Arabidopsis thaliana: one gene and its partners. The protein of the gene in region 1 interacts with the protein of each later gene in a pairwise test. Each region holds a gene or a part of one and is shown in the gene's direction. Other genes may lie near its edges.

What was found.
Region 2: the proteins of MYB117 (region 1) and TCP1 interact in a two-hybrid assay, tested with the Arabidopsis thaliana proteins (one large-scale study listed by BioGRID).
Region 3: the proteins of MYB117 (region 1) and AT3G57600 interact in a two-hybrid assay, tested with the Arabidopsis thaliana proteins (one large-scale study listed by BioGRID).
Region 4: the proteins of MYB117 (region 1) and LOV1 interact in a two-hybrid assay, tested with the Arabidopsis thaliana proteins (one large-scale study listed by BioGRID).

What each region holds. Positions count from the first base shown.
Region 1 is NC_003070.9:9,268,192-9,273,904, forward strand, and holds MYB117 (myb domain protein 117), read left to right. Parts: upstream 1-2,760; 5' UTR 2,761-2,841; coding exon 2,842-3,238; intron 3,239-3,491; coding exon 3,492-3,926; coding exon of another isoform or gene 3,927-3,937; intron 3,938-4,024; coding exon 4,025-4,272; 3' UTR 4,273-4,522; downstream 4,523-5,713. Other genes in the region: AT1G26790 (Dof-type zinc finger DNA-binding family protein), read right to left, coding at 5,666-5,713. UniProt on the Arabidopsis thaliana protein: Probable transcription factor that involved in boundary specification, meristem initiation and maintenance, and organ patterning.
Region 2 is NC_003070.9:25,166,761-25,172,091, reverse strand, and holds TCP1 (TCP family transcription factor), read left to right. Parts: upstream 1-2,784; coding exon 2,785-3,864; downstream 3,865-5,331.
Region 3 is NC_003074.8:21,329,008-21,334,422, forward strand, and holds AT3G57600 (Integrase-type DNA-binding superfamily protein), read left to right. Parts: upstream 1-3,766; 5' UTR 3,767-3,833; coding exon 3,834-4,667; 3' UTR 4,668-4,911; downstream 4,912-5,415. Other genes in the region: AT3G57587 (Ta11-like non-LTR retrotransposon), read left to right, coding at 1-350; AT3G57590 (F-box and associated interaction domains-containing protein), read right to left, coding at 1,175-2,389. UniProt on the Arabidopsis thaliana protein: Transcriptional activator that binds specifically to the DNA sequence 5'-[AG]CCGAC-3'. Binding to the C-repeat/DRE element mediates high salinity-inducible transcription.
Region 4 is NC_003071.7:644,918-652,112, forward strand, and holds LOV1 (NAC domain containing protein 35), read left to right. Parts: upstream 1-2,620; 5' UTR 2,621-3,087; coding exon of another isoform or gene 3,088-3,126; coding exon 3,127-3,418; intron 3,419-3,560; exon of another isoform or gene 3,561-3,748; coding exon 3,749-4,017; intron 4,018-5,048; coding exon 5,049-5,732; 3' UTR 5,733-5,903; downstream 5,904-7,195. Other genes in the region: AT2G02455 (uncharacterized protein), read right to left, coding at 3,088-3,300. UniProt on the Arabidopsis thaliana protein: Transcription factor that acts as a floral repressor. Controls flowering time by negatively regulating CONSTANS (CO) expression in a GIGANTEA (GI)-independent manner.

The sequences.
Region 1 (5,713 bases):
CGGATTTTAATTTTCAAAGAACTCAATGTTTACTTGCATTGACTACTAATTATTGAGGACATCTAAAATATCTAAGAAAAAAAACTCTTGTTAATCAATAAAAAAAGATCCCATATGTAAGTAATTTTATTTCTTTGCTTTTTTATTCTTAGTCTAAGATCACTAATCACATAACATATTACATATAGATGGATGCCACGTCAGAAAAGAGTCTATTTGAAAGCGAACTTTTCTTTCGAGTAAAACACAAACCTGACCAAACGTGTAACAAAATTAAACATTATCGTACAAGGGGACATTGTAACACATGAATAACTAAGGTTGATAAAATTTGTAGACGGACATAAAGAATTCCAAGAAAAGTGAATTAGGTGAAATTTAAATGGGCTATGGGGTCAAAGAATGGTCGAGAAAATAAAAATTAGATTATGTCAGACGAGTAAAATTGAGCTTTGGATTAATTCCAACGTTTTAGTGATTCCTTATTACACATTTGATGTATTTTTGTGACAAACTGACAAAAGTATATATTAATGCTATGTTGAAAAAGGTATGTTCAAGCTTGTAATCAATTTTGGACTGAGTCACGCATGGACCGTAGCTAATATATCCACCGAAACGGATTGACCATGAGATCGCAATCTATTTTATACCTCAGATAATTTTTGTCCCCTCACTATATGAGCTTTACATACATCTGTTTCCAGAGTAATTTAGTTGCTTATTCTGTTAGTCACTCCCTAAAACAAGCTACTACACTCGATCAAGCAGTAACATCAAACTCCTTTAATCTTCCAAGTTAGACTCTCTTCTTACTTTTCAAGGTATGTTTAAATATTTAACATGTTTATAAATAATTCCATGTGTAAATAGAACATATGTTTTTAATAACTTAGTATTTTAGACGAAAGAATCGAAAATCTAGTACTAGTCTACTGGATATAAACAAAGTAACAAGATAGATTCATAGCCCAAAACAAAAGAACAACCAAATCGAAGTCCCACTTTAGCTAGTGGCTCTACTTACAAACAAACATAATTAATAGTGTGTTTCACCATATTTTATTTCATCATTTCATTTTAAACGGTAAAAAAAAACTGATTACAATTTTTATAAATGTTTGTTCTGCAAAATATAAAATTAAATAAAGCTGCATAACTTTCTGTTTCATAAAATTATATAGTTCATATATACTTCTTCACCCAACCTTTTATTTCATATTTCATATATAATATTAATGTGTATTTCAAAGTGATTGACCAATTAAAAAGAAAATATGACGAAGAGAAAGAGAGTTTGTAGTGCGTTCGGTTAAATCTCTGTGCAGAGGATCGTACAGTTCTGAGACCCCTTTTGTATCTGTATTTATCCCATATTTAATGGTTACGTCTGCCAATTGGGATTTCTGGTCAAATACGAAAAGGTCTTAAAAGTTATTTCTTTACATTTTTACTGTTCATTCTCATTACTTATACACACTTCCACACGGCCACATTCCTCATGTATGTGGGATATTTAGGGTTGAGAGTTTTTTTGAATTGGCATTGTAATATCTCGTTATTAAAAACCATGAGACTGCTACAAAGAATAAAACAGTCAAAATTTCAAGATTATTTGATACAACATGACAAGGAGAAAATGAGTATATTGAAGCGATGTTTAATTAAGAAAAAAATTGAATGAAGAAAAAAGATTGTGGTTAATTTTTTAAGATAAGAGAGGGTTTCACAGAAACAAAAATGGTAGTAAAAAGTAAAGGAATGAAAGACAAGTGGAGATTAAGAGAGAAAGAGGTAAATTTTAAGGAACCCAAAATGAAATGAAAGAAAAAGCTGTCTGAGAATTGGTTGTGCTAAGAAGAGACCCGACTCATTCCCCAATGGTAAACTCTCTTTTTGCCTTCATCCTTTTTTGGTAGTTAGTTCTGCTTCAGCTTTTTTTCTTTCATCTCATTAGCTTTTATTATTTTCACCTTGCACCTATAAAACATGCATTGATTAATAGAGGATAAATTTCACCTAATAACGGTAAGATTCATTTCGGACTCGTCCAAGATATTCTCTACATTCATTGTTTTTTAGGTCGACACTCCCAACATTAATTTATTTTGTCATAATCCATTGGTTTTCATTAAATAAAAGAGGAAATACTATCTTATACATCAAACTAAGATAAACATTAATTATTCATAAAAGTAGGAAATTTGTATAAGGAACCATAGAGAAGCAGCGTAATTAATGTTATCGTTTGATTATGAACCCTAATACGACTATAAAACTATTGCATACTTTTCAATTACTATCAATCTATGGACATGGAAAAAAACTTGGTCTTCAAATCTTAGTTACTTTTAAATTTAATAAATGATTTATCAGAAAAACTCTTTAACTTCTATGAAACTAGGTACACCTGAACAAATGTATAACAGTCCACAGCAAAATCGAATATCGATAATACACATTTGTACTTACTTATTACAGTAGTGTATATGTAATATATATAATAATGTATAAATGCAAAGAACTCTGTCGTTTGAATTAGTCCGTGACGACGGTCCATAACCCTTTTTAACAGTCGTCAGAAAACACGGTCGCGACATGTACATACACGCACATACCTAAAGCCATACGTAACAAACACACCATTATATACAAAAGATATTCTATTATTTTTAAAAAATAATATTTATGACACACATTTACGTACGTGTATATATAATATGCAAATGCACTCACATAAGTCTTTCTCCTCCGATGGTATATGTCTATAAGCTGACGTGACATCTCTCTTAATTCTCAATAACACTTCTCTTCTTCTTCCTTTCTCCCAACACTAACTCCATGTTTATAACGGAAAAACAAGTGTGGATGGATGAGATCGTCGCAAGAAGAGCTTCTTCTTCTTGGGACTTCCCTTTCAACGACATTAATATTCATCAGCATCATCATCGTCACTGCAACACAAGTCATGAGTTTGAAATCTTGAAGAGTCCTCTTGGAGATGTAGCGGTTCACGAAGAAGAGAGTAATAATAATAACCCTAATTTCAGTAACAGCGAGAGTGGTAAGAAGGAGACAACAGATAGTGGTCAGTCTTGGTCCTCGTCGTCTTCAAAACCATCGGTCTTGGGGAGAGGACATTGGAGACCAGCTGAAGATGTTAAACTCAAAGAGCTTGTCTCCATTTACGGCCCACAAAACTGGAACCTCATAGCTGAAAAGCTTCAAGGAAGATCTGGTAAGTTAAATCAAAACCTTATTTATTTTCTATTTCTTTTGACAGCAAGTTAAATCAAAACCTTATAGATCTTCAAAATTTCATCAAAACCAGTTTGTTTGATTCATCTGGATCTGTCAAGTTCTTAAGATCCGGTGATAAAATCAATTTTTGTTTTTATTAGTTTTCTTGGTCTTTAGCCTTCTATGTCCAATCTAAGTCCTAACGTAATTTTTTTTGAGTTTTATTAACTTAATCTTGATTGTTTTTAAAGGGAAGAGCTGTAGACTACGATGGTTTAACCAATTGGACCCGAGGATAAACCGAAGAGCTTTCACAGAAGAAGAAGAGGAGAGGCTGATGCAAGCACATAGGCTTTATGGTAACAAATGGGCAATGATTGCGAGGCTTTTCCCTGGTAGAACTGATAATTCAGTGAAGAACCATTGGCATGTTGTCATGGCTCGTAAGTATAGAGAACACTCTTCTGCTTACCGTAGGAGAAAGCTTATGAGTAATAATCCACTTAAACCTCACCTCACCAATAATCATCATCCTAACCCTAACCCTAATTACCACTCTTTTATCTCCACTAATCATTACTTCGCTCAGCCTTTCCCCGAGTTTAATTTGACTCATCACCTGGTTAATAATGCCCCTATCACGAGTGACCATAACCAGCTTGTGTTGCCTTTCCATTGCTTTCAAGGTAGCCTATAGCTCTTCCTCCTCTTTCAATAGTTTTTTCAATTGTCTTTTGCATATTTTGAACTCTTTTTTGGTTTTTGTTATATCTACAACGTTCAGGTTATGAGAACAATGAACCTCCGATGGTTGTGAGTATGTTTGGCAACCAAATGATGGTCGGCGATAACGTTGGTGCCACGTCAGACGCGTTATGCAATATTCCGCACATTGACCCTAGTAACCAAGAGAAACCGGAGCCAAATGATGCAATGCATTGGATCGGAATGGACGCGGTAGATGAGGAGGTGTTCGAAAAGGCTAAGCAGCAACCACATTTTTTCGATTTTCTTGGCTTGGGGACGGCGTGAATGTTGAACAAATTGGTGTTAATCAGATAACGACAGTGGTTAAATTTGGTTACAAAAAAAATAGCATTTAGCTTTAGTAGCTAGAAAACAAACAAACCAGATCCTAGCCTTTGTCCTTGCGTTTACGTTAATTACTAAACTGTAGATTGTTGTTGTTGGCACTTGGTTGTCTAGTGTAACATTTGATAAGTCATTGTTTTTAGTAGTACTCGTTCAGAAATATTTAACAAAGAGAGATTGGTTTTAAAAAGTTGATTCTTTTATGATGAAGTGACGTGAAATATTGCTAAAGACGTGTTGAGAATAACAACGAGAGAGAGAGAGAGAGAAGGGAAATTAAAAAGAGTGGAGTTTCTAGGAGTTGGAGAAAGAGACGAAGATGCGTAATTAAGAGAAGAGGAACTGCCAAAATTGAGGCAGAGATTGTGCAACAGAAAGGCCAAACATGAAACATGCTCACCAAATCTCACACACACATTGCATTTGTTTCTTCTCTTCAAACCGTTTTTCCAACTCTTCAAGCTTCTTACCTATGTATCTCTCTCATGTCACGCGGACCCACACATGCCCTTCTTTCTTGTAATTCTTTCCATGTTGTAGATATAAAAGAAAAATTTAAATTGAATTGTTCTTTTGTATAGTTTTGGTTGGGTTAAAAAAAAAGGAAAAAAATTAGTTTTGGTTTTGAATATGAGTTTTTAAAATAATATATAACGTGGATAAATGTATGGGTTTTTCGGATTTTGAAAGGTTGTTGTAGAGAAGATTTTTAATTTACCCATTGGGTCTGAAATTGCTTCAATAGGCCCAATCTATTTCGGAGATGTTCTCGAGTCTCTCTTTTTGGGAACAAACATCCGAGTGAAGTCAATATTAAGTGATTTTCGAAAAGATAAAAACTATTCTAAAACTAATTAACATTTTTCCACTCATTTTAGTAATTCTCCCAAAGTAAAGTGCTTAAAGAGAGGGGGAAAAAAGTGCTTAAAGTGTTTTCTTCTTATTGTTTCCCTTTATACGCAAATGAAGAGACTTATTTTATTTTCAAAGAAAGAGACTTTTATGTTTCTCCTTTAGCTTTTAGTTTGTACCAATCAGATGGATTCTGTACCAAGGACTCCAAGTTAAGATTCTCTACTTTTTCTCCTTTACATGAAAATTCACACATATGTTTTTTTTCCAATTAATTTATACACTAGTACTACAAAATACAAATAATGGAGTAAACAATATTTTCGAACCACATTTACCAAAAAAGACATTACACTTCAGCATTTCCATCTGTTTGGATAATCTACAAAATGGGGATTGTGGTATATAAATAAGATAGATATTAAAAGTTAATTCATCACACAAAAAAAGGTATCTACAAAGTTTCTTTTCTCCTTTAACGTTATATGCTCTCTCTGAAGTTCATAGATCTTGCCATGGCTGCAGGGTT
Region 2 (5,331 bases), about 16 Mb from region 1:
ACCAATATTAGAAGACTTAAGATGATTGCTTTGAAAATGAAAATATAAAATATAAATATGTAAACTAAAGTGGTAGCCCATGATCTATAGATTTTGGGTGGAATGCATCCATGTCTCTAAAAAGCACATATTAAACGAAGAATTTAAGAGATTTTAGATACATCTATTTAATACATAAACAAACCCACATATTCTAACATGAAATTTGAAGAGACTTTAGAATCAAATAACTCAAAAATGACCATTTCCTGTTTAATAAAAAAAAAAAAAAAACCTCTCTCCATTGAAGACTCTCTTGTCTCCAGTCTCCACCACTGACCAAAACCAAAAGCTCATTCTCCAAAACTTCCATCTACAACAAGTGTTCGAAATTTATACCATTGTTGAGTGAAATAATTGGGCGACTTCACTATCTTCCTTCCTTTTCTTTATGTACTCTGTAAACCCTAATATCCTAAATACATGTTCCTCAATTCCTCAATTTGCTGTTCGCCACTTCGTATTTTTCAAATCTATCTTCGATTTACTTCTTATTAAAGAAAAAAAAGCTCAGCGACTTCTGCTGGAGTTTCATTTTTTAGAGACTTACGTTGATAGATGGCTTGTTTTAATTTACCAGTTTCCCTCACACATTTTCTAAGCTTCCCGGATTTGATAGTCGAACATATTCCCTTCCTTTTAGCTTCAATCCTAGTTCAGATATTTTCCTCAAAATCGTAAAATAACCACTAAAAATATTTCAAATTCAAGTACCTCATATTGATGGATAAAAAATATCCAAGAAAAACAAAGTACAGGTAGAAGGCAAAATAAAAAAATATGGGTAAGAAGGGCCCAAAAAAACATTTCTGAGAAAAAAAGTTCATAAAATTTATTTTCCTATACTCATAACATATAAAAAAATTTATAAAGGTTTCTATATAAAAAAATAACTGTACAATTTACATTGCTAGGGACTTATTTTAAAAATTAGCCCTAAGGCCTATAAAATGTTTAAACCGACACGAATTATAGGTGTTCAACTCGTATCACCGTGTACTTTTAGACTCTGCCCAATTCACCATGAACTATATCATAAACCTCATAATTCCACCTAAACTATTAAATTCATCACAATTAGACAACTTCAATTAATTGAGTCAATTGCGATTTAAAATCCTTAAACGGTTATGCGATTATACTAACATGAGTTTAATAGATTGACCGATTTAAAAGCCTATTTAAATACTAGGGTATAAATATCTGTAAAAAATAGCTCTCCTGGGGAAAATTTTTTTTTCCAATAAACTCAAAGTACCCAAAACAGAAATCACTCGTCCCTTAAACTTACTAGGGTAGAAACTAGTGTAGATTTGTATAAATTAACAATACTAACTAAAATCTAAACTATAAACTTTAAATTATAAACTCCAAACTCTAAAAACTAAACACTAAATCCAAGAACTAAAATCTAAAACCCCAAATTCTACTCAACCCTAAATTGTTAAGCTTGAAACCGTTATAATTATATAGTTTCCTTTATTTTGTCATGATTCAACTTATTTTTTTTTTCATTTCAAATATCTTTTAAAACCGTCGTATTTATATTGTTACACATTTCAAATTACTAAAATGATAAAATACTATTTTTATGTGATAACAAAAAAAAAAACTATATTTTCTATGGTTTTGTATATAAACAGTTGGGTGCATGAATGCATATATTGCATTTGCGCCCACTGTAAATTAGAACAACCCTTGACTACTAGCTAGAGACGTCAAAAGAAAATTGAAAACGACAAATCTTTTCACAATCTTCAATCGTACGGGAAACCAACTCAGGTCACATTAAAGCCTCTTTTCTCTTTTGACAAAAACCCTAAATAAAGGGATAATGTTTATGTTACGTTGTTATATGTACACTACACATTTATTCCATATCTATAGTTTCGTTAACCGGTCAAAACTAATTCACCCACCAAAAAAAATCTAAATTTCCATTTCCATGGCATGTAGGAAAAACTAGAAACCACTGGACAAAAGAATAGAAGTTTTTTTTTATATCCAAAACGAAAGCAAAGCAGATCTTGTCTGAGATCCGACAAAAAATAAAAACAGTGAAATACTATACATTCAAGAACATCGATCGCCTTCAATACTGACTCTTAAAAGCGTGATGTTTATCATTGAAATGGAAACAAATCCTTCATATGTCGTCTTCTATTGTTGAATTATTATTTTTGGACTATATGGGCCATGTTAATTAGATGTTGCTTTTGTGGAGCACTCATACGAAAGGTACGTTACCTACTTGTATATGTATACGTAGTAAAAGTAAAATGTTAAGAAGATACTAAAAATAGTTGAGTTTGAGGTTAATCCCCAATATATAAGTTCATAACCAGATATTAGATCTGGAATTGAAAACCCTAGAAAAAAGTTGTAAACCCTAGTGAAAAATTAACCTGTAACTGAGTGAGAGAGGAGAAGAACAGATCTGCTTTTTTGCGAGCAGATCTTCAATTACATACACAAAATCATGTCTTCATCACTGTACACTTAACCATTTTCTTGTTACACATCTCTTACACCATTAATATCTCTATAGTTTTTTTCTTTTCTTTCTTTTTTTGCTGGTGTGAGAAATTGTACGCTTACTATCTCTCTCTCTCTCTGCCAGATTCTCTCTTTTTGATGATGTGAAAGTTGTGCTTTTGTTTCTTAAGAAAAAGGCATATTTTTAATACTTGATTCTTGGTTCTTGATTCTTGATTCTTGGTTTTTTTTAGCTTCTTAAGTTCGGTGATGTCGTCTTCCACCAATGACTACAACGATGGTAATAACAATGGAGTGTACCCTCTCTCTCTTTACCTTTCTTCACTCTCTGGCCATCAAGACATCATTCATAATCCCTACAACCATCAGTTAAAAGCATCTCCGGGCCATATGGTATCAGCAGTTCCTGAATCTCTGATCGATTACATGGCGTTTAAGTCAAATAATGTTGTGAATCAACAAGGCTTTGAGTTTCCTGAGGTGTCAAAGGAAATCAAGAAGGTGGTGAAGAAGGACCGACATAGCAAGATTCAAACGGCACAAGGGATTAGAGACAGGAGGGTTAGGCTTTCTATTGGGATTGCTCGCCAATTCTTTGATCTTCAGGATATGTTGGGGTTTGATAAAGCTAGTAAAACGTTAGACTGGCTGCTCAAGAAGTCAAGAAAAGCCATCAAAGAGGTCGTACAAGCAAAAAACCTCAACAATGATGATGAAGATTTTGGAAACATTGGAGGCGATGTAGAACAAGAAGAGGAGAAGGAGGAGGATGACAATGGCGATAAGAGCTTCGTGTATGGTTTGAGCCCCGGGTACGGTGAAGAAGAAGTGGTATGTGAGGCCACGAAGGCAGGGATAAGAAAGAAGAAGAGTGAGTTGAGAAACATCTCATCAAAGGGGCTAGGAGCCAAAGCTAGAGGAAAAGCAAAGGAGCGAACAAAAGAGATGATGGCCTATGATAATCCAGAGACTGCCTCTGATATTACACAATCTGAAATCATGGACCCATTCAAGAGGTCTATAGTCTTCAATGAAGGAGAAGATATGACACACCTTTTCTACAAGGAACCAATCGAGGAGTTTGATAATCAAGAATCTATCTTAACCAATATGACTCTACCAACGAAGATGGGTCAAAGTTACAATCAAAATAATGGGATACTTATGTTGGTAGATCAGAGTTCTAGCAGCAACTATAATACATTTCTGCCTCAAAATTTGGATTATAGTTATGATCAAAACCCTTTTCATGACCAAACCTTATATGTAGTCACCGACAAAAATTTCCCCAAAGGTAAAGTTTGGATTCAAGACTCTTTTGTAAACTAAATTATTGTTCATATATATGTTTGCATTCTATGATATGTTTTCTTTCTCTTGATTGTTTCTGGCAGGTTTCCTATAAATCTCGACAGTTTTGAAGGACTATGCATGATCAAGTTTAAACATGTAAGCCAATATAGTCCCTTATTCCTCTGAATGTATACAAAATCTATAGTTATGTATATCTGTTCCTTTTTAACGTATCTTTATTGATCTTCTGTGCCTTGATCAAAATTGTCATTTTAAGATTCAGTTTGTGTAATATTTTAGCTACAACTTTTAAGTGGTATTATTGTAACCTTTTGAACTATATATTTTGAAGATGAATAAGAACATGTTTATATATTTGGTCATCCCATTACAATCCAAGATTCATACTTCGATTAGGCACTACACATAAGAGCTAGTCTTTAAGATTAAGCCATTTTTGTTTAAGTTAGAGCTCCATATATTAGAATTTGTTCTTCAAACCCTAAATTCAATTAAGACCCACAAAACCAAATATGTATGATGATGAATATTGAGGGTCGTAGTGAAACTGAAGTAGTTACATTGCAAATTGAAGGTGACACTGAGAATTAGTGTGTGGAATGTGGAGGCGTGCCTGCCGTGGTGTCTATTTGATTCATAGTTTGTGATTTGGCCATCCAGGTATGAGGAGAATATATCCTACTTTCATATTATTGTCTATATAGAAGATATATACACATTTATATATTGGTGTATTTATTCTCTTACTCGGAGGATGTTTTGCAATGATGCTTTTTGAAGCAAATATGAGTTGTTTGTTTATGGGGTTTGAAGTTTGGCGTTTTGGAAACAATGATTGTTAACTTAACATATTCGAGTAAGATTTGTTTAAGGCTTTTAGGTTAAACTCTGACTAGAGATGTGAAAAAAAAAAATCCAAAAGAAAACTCAATGTTTTGAAATGATAACATTCACTTAGTAGTAAATAAGTACATGGATCAATTCAGTCACTACCAATTTGTTTGAATTATTATAAATCCTCAAAACTGAATATGCTATCATAGTTCAAACTCCAAACACACGTTGACATGAACCTAAATCAATATTGTTGTTCCTAGCTGACCCCAAATAGATCCATATATACAAGAGATTAGCCAATCAATTCTGCTTATGAAACTTGATATTCACCAATTTGAGATTCTAGAATTTAGTCGTTTTAATTTAATTTACAATTTAGTCGGAAATCCTATCAAAACGTAAAACTTTTTAAGAAACTGAATGTTAGGAGTTAATGAAAACGTGTAAAAGAATGATACAAGATTTGACTGATTCTATTTGTTAATAATTTTTAAATTTACAGTATATGCCTAAATTTATTTGGTTTAACTAACTAATTTTAGGATAATTAGTCAAATTAGATGATCATATATGGTTAAAGCTAGTCTAATTTAATTAGACTAAGTACGTAATAAGGTTGTTCTTAAACCGAAAAAAAAAAAAAAG
Region 3 (5,415 bases), on another chromosome or scaffold:
TGACGGAGACTTCATTTCCTGCTCCTGTGACACCGCCTCCTAGAATTGCTCATCCACCACTGAATCCTGAAGAATTGAGAGCTGCGTATCCATACTATGCATCAGTTAGAGATACTCATACATTACATGTTGGAGAATCTAGTACTGCAAGACAACAATGGTCATCGAGTTCTAGTACCACTCCAACAAGAGCAGACACTCCTAATCATGATAACAACAGAGTCTTTGAAGTCGGTCAATCCTCAAGAAGACAGGAAGTAAGAAGAGAAGCAGAGGATCCTAGACTTCAAACTCGTCTACACAGTGCTTCAAGAATGGGAGAGAGTCTGAAACCTCCCAAAAAGAGATAACCACTCTAACAAGACTTCTGTCAATTTTTGTTGAAGACTACAGGGAATCTAGGATAGCAGCTTCAAGTAGTTGGATATGTTTTTTTGGTTCTGACATATCCTTAACTTTGTTAAGTTTCAGGTTTATTATTTCATGTTTCTCGTTTTACTTCTAAGATCATCTTGTTATGTTTGAATCAAAGGTTTGTAAGTGGTTAGACCACTCAAACACTTTTTGTAAGAACACAATGACATGAATGAATGAAAGATAACTTTTAGGGAAAAAAAAAAAAAAAAACGAAAGAAATAGACAGTGAATTTGATGGGCCTTTGGGCTTTAGCGTAATTGTGAATGAGCTCATTTATTCATTGTCGTAATTTATGGTTTGTTCTCTCATGTGCCAATGAAGTCCGTATGTGTGCTAGCAAGCAAACGATGGTATTGGCCTAACTTTTCGTAGAGATTCTATAAAATTATGTGAAATGCAAAGACCAAATAAGTTTGGGTATAGAATCTCCAGCTACTTTTTAAAATACAAAATAATGATACCAGAGTACAGAAATTTAATAGACAGTAGAAATTGCACTTTAATTTCGGGTAGAAGATATCATTAAACTATAGGAAAAATTGATTAACCAAAAAAAGGTCAACAATGCTACAATACGATTCACTTCAAAATATTTGTAATACACTACCAAAGCTAGATTTGATTCATACTCACAGATCTTCCAACGTCTATAACTAAAGAACATAAACACATATATGACATGCCCTACTGCTTTTTACCTCATCCCTTGTCTCTTTTCTTCCCTACTGTCTCTTTCATTTCTTCTCTCCCTTTGGTTTAAGCCTTTTGGTAATGATAATCAGGCTGCGATACTTTGTTACAGCATGAGCAGAGATGCTTGACTTGAGAGATGCTTGACTTGAGTTGCTTCCCTTTGTTAACCCGAAGATCCTCTACATGGTTAACAAAAGCATAAACTCTACCACAATTCTCAACCGCTTCAAGGTTAGCTCCAAAATCTTGGATTTCAACGCTCTGGAGAGTGTTCCTCTCGGGATTGAAGTAGAACACATAAAACGGTTTACATGTATATTTCATACACAAAACAATATCACCTCTAGTAGTCACTCCAGCAACTGAAAAGTCGCAGGAATCAAGGACTTCATTCTCCGGCAGAGTGTACACATATTTAACCCATTCATGCTTCTCGGCATCCTCTAGAACCCACATACGCAACTCAACGGTGCGCCTTTCACCAGCTTGACCATACTTCCAATTAATCCCACTTAATTTACCCTCATAGTTTACCAAAATCAACCCACTAGTATCATCAAGTTGATCATTAAAGCATCCTGCGTCAAAATACTTAAATTCCTCAGACCTTACATCAAAGCAAATGATCACACAAGACGGTACACCAAGAGTCTGAGCTAAGTAATACAAAACTCCATTGATACATATTCCTTCACTCAAAGAACGATCATATGCAGGACAACTAATGATATTACTCCTCCAGCTCAGTTCCTCAGTTCCTAATGTCAGAATCTCATGATGTTCCCTTTGATCAGAAAATGGATAAGCCTCAGACAATACCTTGAATTGCTTACCAATGGGATCAAACCCTAGAAAGCCTCGAGCATTTTTGTACCTCATCAGATCAGGTAAGCTCTCATACATTCCTGTGGTAGGGTTACAAATCACAGGCGATGCATCTTTTGAGAGCCACAAATCAGGGAAACAGAGCAAACCTGAGACATAGCTACAAATGAATCGGCTTACGTCTCCTGAGAATTTTGTATGATAATCCAAATGAGAAGACTTCTCATATCGATTCTGTGGCTGCGGCGACGAGAAGAAGAGCCACTCACCATTTCGTTCGGCAGCAAACAGCAGACGTGGACGATTCGAGGATCTGGTCAGGAAGAGCTCGGTGAAAACTGGACTGCGAAGCATAGACGCCCAGTGCTTCGACAAGGTACGAAATCCAATGACTGACTTCGCCGGCAATCTCGAGAAGATCTCGAGAATGAGATCATTTGGGATTGGTTCCATGAAGAAGCGTTTATTGCCGCCGGAGTGTGTGATTGTTTCGTCGGAGAAGGAGAAGGTTTAATACGACGCAACAAGATTGGGATTGTATGGGCCTTTGGGCTTTAGCATAGTTGTGAATGAGCTAAGCCCATTTATTCATTGCGATAATTGGGACTTTTGGTTTGTTCTCTCACGTGCCAATCGGTATGTTAGATATGTGGTAGCGAATGAAGGATTAGTTTTCACAGGGATTCTAAATATCATGTAAAATGTAAAGACCAAATATGTTTTGGTAACTGGTTATGGAATCTCTAGCTACTATTAGCAACAAAAAAAAAAGACAGTAGAGGTAGAGCTTGCTTTTTGATTTAGGATGAAGAACAATTGTTTAATGGCTAAAGCAAAAGCTTAGTATCTGGTGACAAATGTGTCAATACAGAGATAAATTTATTAGGCTTAGCACTCCTTTTTTTGGATTAAACAATCAATAAAAACGAAATAGAAATATAATCAGTTTGTGTTTTTGCTTTAGTGAAACAGAAGAAAATGGGTTCAGTTATTACTTTTTCTTTATTTTTTGGGATTTGTGTAGAATTATGTACAAGTCATATACTATTAAAATAAATGGGATTAGGGAACAATGTGGTGAGTTAAATGTGATGGTAAGAGAGGAAGGAAGAAGCATGGGATAATGGTGAAGGGAGCGGCGCTTAAATCTGAAAATCTCGAGAATGAAGAAAACACGTCACTTCACTCTCACGATCGAACATGTGATTCTTGTGTGCTGCGACGACTCGTGACTCTTGCCTCTCTTTTTCTCATGCATGGCTCTCCGATTCTCCGACGAAAGAAGGAAACAACAAAAAGATAAAGATGAGATATCGTAAAAGCTTTAAAGCTTTAAAGTGTCCTCAAGAAAAATAATTCTAGGAACCCAAAAAACCTTGTCTCGCTAGATATCTTGGTAACATGTACAAGTAAAATATTAGAGCTAGTCATAACAAAGAAAAACAAAAAAAAAAACATTTGAGTTCCTGATGATTAACAGAAATTTTTGAACATAATAATCCAAAAAAAAAAAAAATGTGTGTGTGCAATTGTTCTAACTTCTTAAGCTATCATCAAAAAGGTGTAATAACTAATAAGGTTGGCATTGCGACTGTTTGGAATGCAGGGGACACCAAGAACTAGGGATTATATTATTCTAGTTTGAGCCTAGGTAGAAGAATTATATAAATATGAAGTTGAGATCAAAAATGGTTAAAAGTTTTTTTTTTTTTTTTTCTTTTGAAAATAACAGAATATGAGAAAAGCAACGGTCACATGCGCGGGTGAAAAAAGCAATTCTCTAGGAATTGAAGCGAACCGTGACATTATTTAAGCACTCACATACTCTTTCTAAGCTCCATTATCATATCCTCTTCTTCCTTCTTCACTATCAATCTTCTTCTCCACTACAACACAAATGGAGAAATCATCCTCAATGAAACAATGGAAGAAGGGTCCTGCTCGGGGTAAAGGCGGTCCACAAAACGCTCTTTGTCAGTACCGTGGAGTCAGGCAAAGGACTTGGGGCAAATGGGTGGCTGAGATCAGAGAGCCCAAGAAGAGGGCAAGACTTTGGCTTGGCTCTTTCGCTACAGCTGAAGAAGCAGCTATGGCTTATGATGAGGCTGCCTTGAAACTCTATGGGCACGACGCATACCTCAACTTACCTCATCTTCAGCGGAATACAAGACCTTCTCTGAGTAACTCTCAGAGGTTCAAATGGGTACCTTCAAGGAAGTTTATATCTATGTTTCCTTCATGTGGTATGCTAAACGTGAATGCTCAGCCTAGTGTTCACATAATCCAGCAAAGACTAGAAGAACTCAAGAAAACTGGACTTTTATCTCAATCCTATTCTTCTAGTTCTTCCTCCACCGAATCAAAAACTAATACTAGCTTTCTTGATGAGAAGACCAGCAAGGGAGAAACAGACAATATGTTCGAAGGTGGTGATCAGAAGAAACCAGAGATCGACCTGACCGAGTTTCTTCAGCAACTAGGAATCTTGAAGGATGAAAATGAAGCAGAACCAAGTGAGGTAGCAGAGTGTCATTCCCCTCCACCATGGAACGAGCAAGAAGAAACTGGAAGTCCTTTCAGAACTGAGAATTTCAGCTGGGATACCCTGATCGAGATGCCAAGAAGTGAAACCACAACTATGCAATTTGACTCCAGCAACTTCGGAAGCTATGATTTTGAGGATGATGTATCCTTCCCTTCCATCTGGGACTACTACGGAAGCTTAGATTGAGTAAAAGCAATTTAAGGTAGATCAAGATTCAGAAGTACACAAATGGTTTTGGATTTAGTGTAGCGTTTTGGAAAAGAGACATAGGTAGTGAGAGTGCAGTCTTTTATTATGCAGCAATAAAGTGAGTCAGTGTACAACCGAGTTGTTCGCTTTTTTTGGTATATTAATGAAGCATGTTCATTTTTTCGCTATCCTTTAGCTCGATAGTTTAAATAGTAAGTGAAAGTCACGGCCCTAATAGAATGATATGTTTTGTGCAAGTAACAATGCAAAAAAGCTTACCTATCATATCCCCTTTCATGGAGATCACATCTAATATCTCAATAATACTAGAAACTCATGATCAATAAATAAAGATCATGATGGTATGAACAAATTTTTAAGATTCGCCTTCGAACTGACCAACGCAAACTTTCTGTCGAGAAAAGAAAACAACAAAACTGAATAACCTAGAGACATATCACACGATGCATAAACTCCCACCAGAAAGTTTCACCTGCCAGCACTGATCAAAATCTGAAGAAATTTGCTAAGTATAGATAACATCCACAGATATTCAACAAGCATAAACAGCAGCTACAATGAACCTTCACGACTTTCTCAGGTTTAAGACATAAAAGGATCTCTTATCAATGGAACGAATAGAGTAAGATCAAACACGAAAGCTTAAACATTATGAATATAGCAACCTCACTGCTTAAGCACAGAATTCCTCTTCATTCCAATATTAGAAACAATGCAACAGATA
Region 4 (7,195 bases), on another chromosome or scaffold:
ATTTTTCCTCGTTTCATATTATAATTGATTTAAGCAAAAGTATGATCGGTAGGAAATTCTTACAGCTATTATGCACTTTTATAACATTTGTTTTCCAATCAGACTCAAGTGTATATAGTGTGTCCCTTCTAAAATTCACAACTTCTATAACTATATTATATTTTCTCACCACGTTTTGTATCTTTCCTTTTTTGTTTTGGTTTAAAGCAATATGAGAATTTTACATGCTTTAGGTGTTTTTTTTTTCTTTTTACAGCAAGAAAAAATGAAGAGTACAACCCAAAGTTTACAGAGTAATGGTACAACAATTACCAGACGAATTATCTTCTTACAGCTTGGTTAAATCAATTGCTAAAGCACAAACTAATGGCGTGTATATATATTGCATATTTAGCCAAATAGTAAGCTTGAAGATTCTAAGACTTTCAAAGTAATCCCTTGCTGAGTTGCTATTATGCTGTATATGTACAATAGTATATAATAATTAAAACTTTAACGAAGACAAACTCATGTGAAAATGTAATAATCAGAAGACAAAATATAAGTTAATAATATGTCATATATATAATAATAGAAATATATGTTCTTTTCGAATTAAAATTAAAAGGTCTTAATTTTTTACAATTGCAAAAACTTTAAACTGAAAAAATGATTTAATCTTCTGGAATGTACATTATATAATATCCGCCACCCTACTTGCTACCCCTAGCTAAAAGCCAAACCGATGGAAGACTCGCTTGCATTAAATTATGCACTAGCTTAATCTACTTTTAAACTCTCTTATAATACATTTAATTCCTAATTTCTATCGCCATTTTATATTTTTACTGATATCAATATTCGAAGGGTCCATGCCTATGATTCCATGTCATACATAATATTTCCTTTCATACCTACATTCATTTTAATGAAAACCTTAAATATATATCCAAAAGCTATACATTTATGTAAACTAAACTGGTATAATAATTTTTGAAATATGTGTATGTCTACTGATTTACTATTTGATTAGTTCGTAGTAAATATATTATAAATTGTTTAAACATAAAAACAAAAAAAATCATGTAACTAGATAATTTTCTTGACGAAGATTCGAATTAACAACACAAAAAAGTTCATTTTCTGATATCGCAATGGTCTAATTAATGGTTGTTGAATAGTTTATCTTTTCCACGTTTCATAAGCTTTTTTGGTACGCGACATCCATATTGAAAAATGTCTGTCTACACTGAGCTCAATCCAATGAAATTTGTTGTGAATGAGATATATGCATTCACGGATTTCTAAAAAATATGAAGTCCATGACATCCATTGAAACATTTGACAAAATAAAAATATAAAATATGAAGTCATTACAACGTAGAGTAAGGTTTCTAAAAACCCCACTCTCGTTTCGTAGAAGCCCCACTACCACCTCACTTTAATTTCATTCATTATCTCATTTACGTTGATACTTTAAATTCATTTTTCCATATAAACTTGTAAGTATGAAATTTGTACTTAGTATATATTTTATCTATCTTTCCATGATGAACTTAAATATATTACAGTTTGCCTAGCCTTTTTAGCTCAGCTATATATATATATATATATGCTAATGTTGTTACGATGTTTATTGTTTTGTGTCTATATCTTATTTACTTTTTTGAATTATTAATAAAATGGAACAATTATACATATAGATTATAGATACATATATCTAAATATAATATATTGTATCTATATATATTAATACAAATTTTAAAGAACTGGCGGGTTTCTAAATTCTAACATATGTACTGTAAGTTCAGCTTCTTACTAAGTCATAGGAACATGGAGAGCGTTGGCAAAATCATGGTCAGTTTGTTTTGCATTCATAATTGAAGACATAGTAGTATCATGCAATGAAGATATGGTGGGCCAAATATATCATAAAAAAAATAGCGAAACAATAAGAGAACGTTCGTGAAGCTGAAGCATATGAAAAACACGTAAATATATTTATGACGAGTGACATAGTAAGCATACGTGATATTATTATTTAATTAGTAATATAGGCCACCAATCAGAATTCTTTGTCTCAACGATGAATAAATTAACTATAATAATCCAAATTTTTAACATTGTTTTAAGAATATCCGTTATTCAATTAGTCTACCTATAACAATGAATTATTATGGATCCTTTATCGCTATGCCTTGATCAGGAGAATTAGATTAGTTACACTTTCGCAATTTTTGTAGCGATGGATTGGAACAAAAACCAAAACAAAATATAGACTATTTACACATAAATTATACATGAAATCAACTTAATTTGTTATTCTCTAAAGTTTAGATTGTCTTTATAAAATACCAATCATATACCTAACTAAAACTAATGAATCTTTAACGTGCATGAGATGGTGCATGTGCAAATAAAACTATAAAGAAAACCATGATATATTTTTTCTAAGAATGATAGTTTTTGGGAATTTTAGACTTTCGGTCTATATTTTTCGTATGTCCACACCAATTGTTGATATTGCATTTAAAACATTAATTATTATTTTTTCCAAGTATAATTGAACTAGTAACCATGAGGTCCATGACATCCATTTGAAAGATGTCAATTCGTAATATTGTTTCAAAATATTTTTTCGTTTATAATACATAAACTTTAATTTTTCCTGTAAAAGATATCAACTGTTCTTTTCATTTGTGTTACAACCCAATAATTATTAAATATTTGAAACTTTAGTATTTAGAAAAAATACATAAAACTAATAGATAGATATTTTATTTTATTTTGAAACAAAAAGCTAGAAATGGAGAGTGAGAGAAAGGTCCAAAGGCACGGCTAAGAAAACAAAACCGTGGACACCCTGTCCTCAATTTGACAAGTCTTTGTCTCCTCCTTAACTCTCTTCTTCTCTCTCTTTGTCTTATTCTAGTTTGGTCTCAACTCCCAAAAACGATGACGTTTCATTCCTATATAGTCGTCCTCTCTTCTTCTTCTCCTCCTCTTATCTCTACTCAACACCACTCAATTTCATCTCTCTTTTTCCCTTCCATTGTTAGTATAAAAACCAAGCAAACCCTTAATCACTTTTCATCATCATATATCACCTTAATCCACATGCATACACATATCTAGTCTTTTTGATATATGGCAATTGTATCCTCCACAACAAGCATCATTCCCATGAGTAACCAAGTCAACAATAACGAAAAAGGTATAGAAGACAATGATCATAGAGGCGGCCAAGAGAGTCATGTCCAAAATGAAGATGAAGCTGATGATCATGATCATGACATGGTCATGCCCGGATTTAGATTCCATCCTACCGAAGAAGAACTCATAGAGTTTTACCTTCGCCGAAAAGTTGAAGGCAAACGCTTTAATGTAGAACTCATCACTTTCCTCGATCTTTATCGCTATGATCCTTGGGAACTTCCTGGTAAATATACATTCACATAAACACACATAAATCATCTCAAACTATTTGGAAATCTTAATTTCTATTCATATGTTAAGATCTTTCTTCTCTCTTATCACTTTCTCTCTCTATTTCTTTTTTTTTAACCTATATATGTACCTACCTCCTTATGAAGTATTACTATGTCGATCGTTAACAATTCTCAATATCTTTAAACGCTTCTCCCTCTTTAGTTTCTTTCTTAAATTAACCTAATTAAACAACCTACATATATATCATAAGATATACAAATATGTGTATGTTTTCATAATTAGCTTATGTATGTTTAATCATAGATATATGTATATGCAGCTATGGCGGCGATAGGAGAGAAAGAGTGGTACTTCTATGTGCCAAGAGATCGGAAATATAGAAATGGAGATAGACCGAACCGAGTAACGACTTCAGGATATTGGAAAGCCACCGGAGCTGATAGGATGATCAGATCGGAGACTTCTCGGCCTATCGGATTAAAGAAAACCCTAGTTTTCTACTCTGGTAAAGCCCCTAAAGGCACTCGTACTAGTTGGATCATGAACGAGTATCGTCTTCCGCACCATGAAACCGAGAAGTACCAAAAGGTATAAATTCTACTATAACTCTATATATATCCTATTCATACATACATAGATATAACCCTAGCTAGGTGGTGAGGCCTTTAAAATTGAAATTAATCCCTAGACAGTTTGAATTTTTTCTTTTTTGACTAGTTTTATTTATTTATTTTGGAATTGATTCGATAAGATCAAAAATACTTGTGAATGGACTAAATGTCAGGCGGCGTTTGCGCTTAAATCCAGAAAAATGTTCATGTCATATGCGTGAACTCTTTAAATTGCTAGACATGGCCCATATGTTATAGTAGAATACATTAATAGATAGATGCATACACATATATATAAACACACAAGTATCACACTCGACATTCATATACCTTAATTCTGCAGAGACATAGTTAGTTTTTCTTACAATTTATGACATGAATGTTCCTGCTCTTCCTCACATTAATTCATGTCTTCTATTTAAGTTACCCAACATTTTTTGAAATAATTTGGCATATATGAATTATACCAACATATTTATATGCGAACATTTAAAATCTATACGAATGATAACGGTTTATGGAGTAGACCGAAAAAATATTATGTATACGGAAAATGACAATGGATAGATAAATACATTTTTTGGGCTCTTTCGACTTATATGTCGTCACCATTTGAAACCATAAATTTATAAAATTTTCTATGTATATATATGATATTATGATGTATGCATAAGACAGCTAAAACAACAGGGTTGACATAATTATCTATGTGTATGTATTGCACATTCACTTGTACTAATAAAACTAAAATTACGCAATTAAATATATAAAAAATAATAAATATAATCATCTTAATTATATTTGCATTGTTACGTCATATGATAGTACTCTAAATTTCTTCTAAACGTGCTATCTTTTTTTGCTAATGCTAACTTTACATAGTTTGTGAATCTTCTTTCAAAACCATATCTTCGATAAATGATATTTTTCATAGATATTGTTAGTCTATATTTGATAATTTGATATATGTATCAAGTCTCTAATCAATGTGCTCATGTATAATTATAGGCTGAAATATCATTGTGCCGAGTGTACAAAAGGCCAGGAGTAGAAGATCATCCATCGGTACCACGTTCTCTCTCCACAAGACATCATAACCATAACTCATCGACATCATCCCGTTTAGCCTTAAGACAACAACAACACCATTCATCCTCCTCTAATCATTCCGACAACAACCTTAACAACAACAACAACATCAACAATCTCGAGAAGCTCTCCACCGAATATTCCGGCGACGGCAGCACAACAACAACGACCACAAACAGTAACTCTGACGTTACCATTGCTCTAGCCAATCAAAACATATATCGTCCAATGCCTTACGACACAAGCAACAACACATTGATAGTCTCTACGAGAAATCATCAAGACGATGATGAAACTGCCATTGTTGACGATCTTCAAAGACTAGTTAACTACCAAATATCAGATGGAGGTAACATCAATCACCAATACTTTCAAATTGCTCAACAGTTTCATCATACTCAACAACAAAATGCTAACGCAAACGCATTACAATTGGTGGCTGCGGCGACTACAGCGACAACGCTAATGCCTCAAACTCAAGCGGCGTTAGCTATGAACATGATTCCTGCAGGAACGATTCCAAACAATGCTTTGTGGGATATGTGGAATCCAATAGTACCAGATGGAAACAGAGATCACTATACTAATATTCCTTTTAAGTAATTTAATTAGATCATGATTATTATCCATGACAATAATTATTAATGCTGCTTTGCCATATTTTCATACTCCTTATATATTGTTATGGCGATAGACAATGATTGATTACTGCGAGTTTATGTAATGGAACTGATTCTCAACATATATAGTCAATTAAGTAGTTTTTTTTTTCTTGTGTTAAAGTTAATTTCTTTAAGCTAGATTCAACGTAGTTAAAAAAAAAAAATTCACTGTAATATATGAATACAAAATGACTAAGGAGTGCAATCCGTATCAAAAGTTCTCAAACAAACCAAAGAAGAAATAAACTTATTGGATTAGATTTTCATGTACGAGCCCTAACCGAAACCAGACTAAAACCAAACACTAACTAAACCATAACAATAGTAACCGTAAATCCAACCTAGTGATATTTAATTTGGTCTTCATTCCATTTCAAAATTTCAAATTGAATGTTGATATTTTTTGTTGTTTATTCATCACTTATTAGAATTCATTTTGCATTGTCATTTACATGCATTAGATCCAAGATGTTTAATTTTAGTTACCTGTTAGTGCGACTTTATAGATAAACAATCCACTAACTCTTAAGAATTCAACAACTAATTTTGAGATAGAAATATATAAAGATAAAAGATGTTAGCTAGTTTTTTGTCTTTGTAAATATAAGACTAATTAGGGTTTGACAAAAAAAAAAAGCATAGGACGTGCAATATTTGGTAAGAGCAGTTGTTCCCGTGATTTTGTCAGATATGACCAGCATGAACAGTTGTATGTTGTAAGAAATCAGTTCCCTTTTTCTCAATGAGAAAAACAAATTTAAACTTGACTTAACTCTCATACTAGTCTTTTTAATCCTAATTATTAACAATCTTTAATAATATATGTAATGTGGCAAAATCCTAATATATACTGACTTGAATATGATACGAAAGTACTAATTTTAAAGTTTTTTCCCTTTCTAACCGGTCGATGTAACCGTATTTGCATGTTTTCTTAGATTATTTTAAATAATATATGTCTATCACCTATATTAGTAAGTATATATTCATAGATTATAGTTGATTTTGCCCAAAGAAAAAAGAAGATTATAGTTGATTATACCACATCATTGATATTCTGTGACGAATTAGATTACAGTTGCGGTAAACGTATTCGCTAGCTAGTACGACGTGCTTAACGCAAAAATATTCAAAGATAACGAATCCGATTAATATTGGTTCGTTTCTTAATTCTTACATCTAGAATCACACATAAAAACAATAAAATAATTAAAAATTTGATGAATTTTTTATTTTTTTGAGTGATAAAAGGCAAAATGTTTTCCGTTTTTTAGTAGCTTTCTCTTTCAAAATATCTATTTCTGGTGTATATCGTGAAAAAAACTTTCAAAATACGTGAATGTGATGATCGTTGAAAACTTCAAATCTCATTTCCCCTAGGTTACTATAAAAGCCCACTATCCT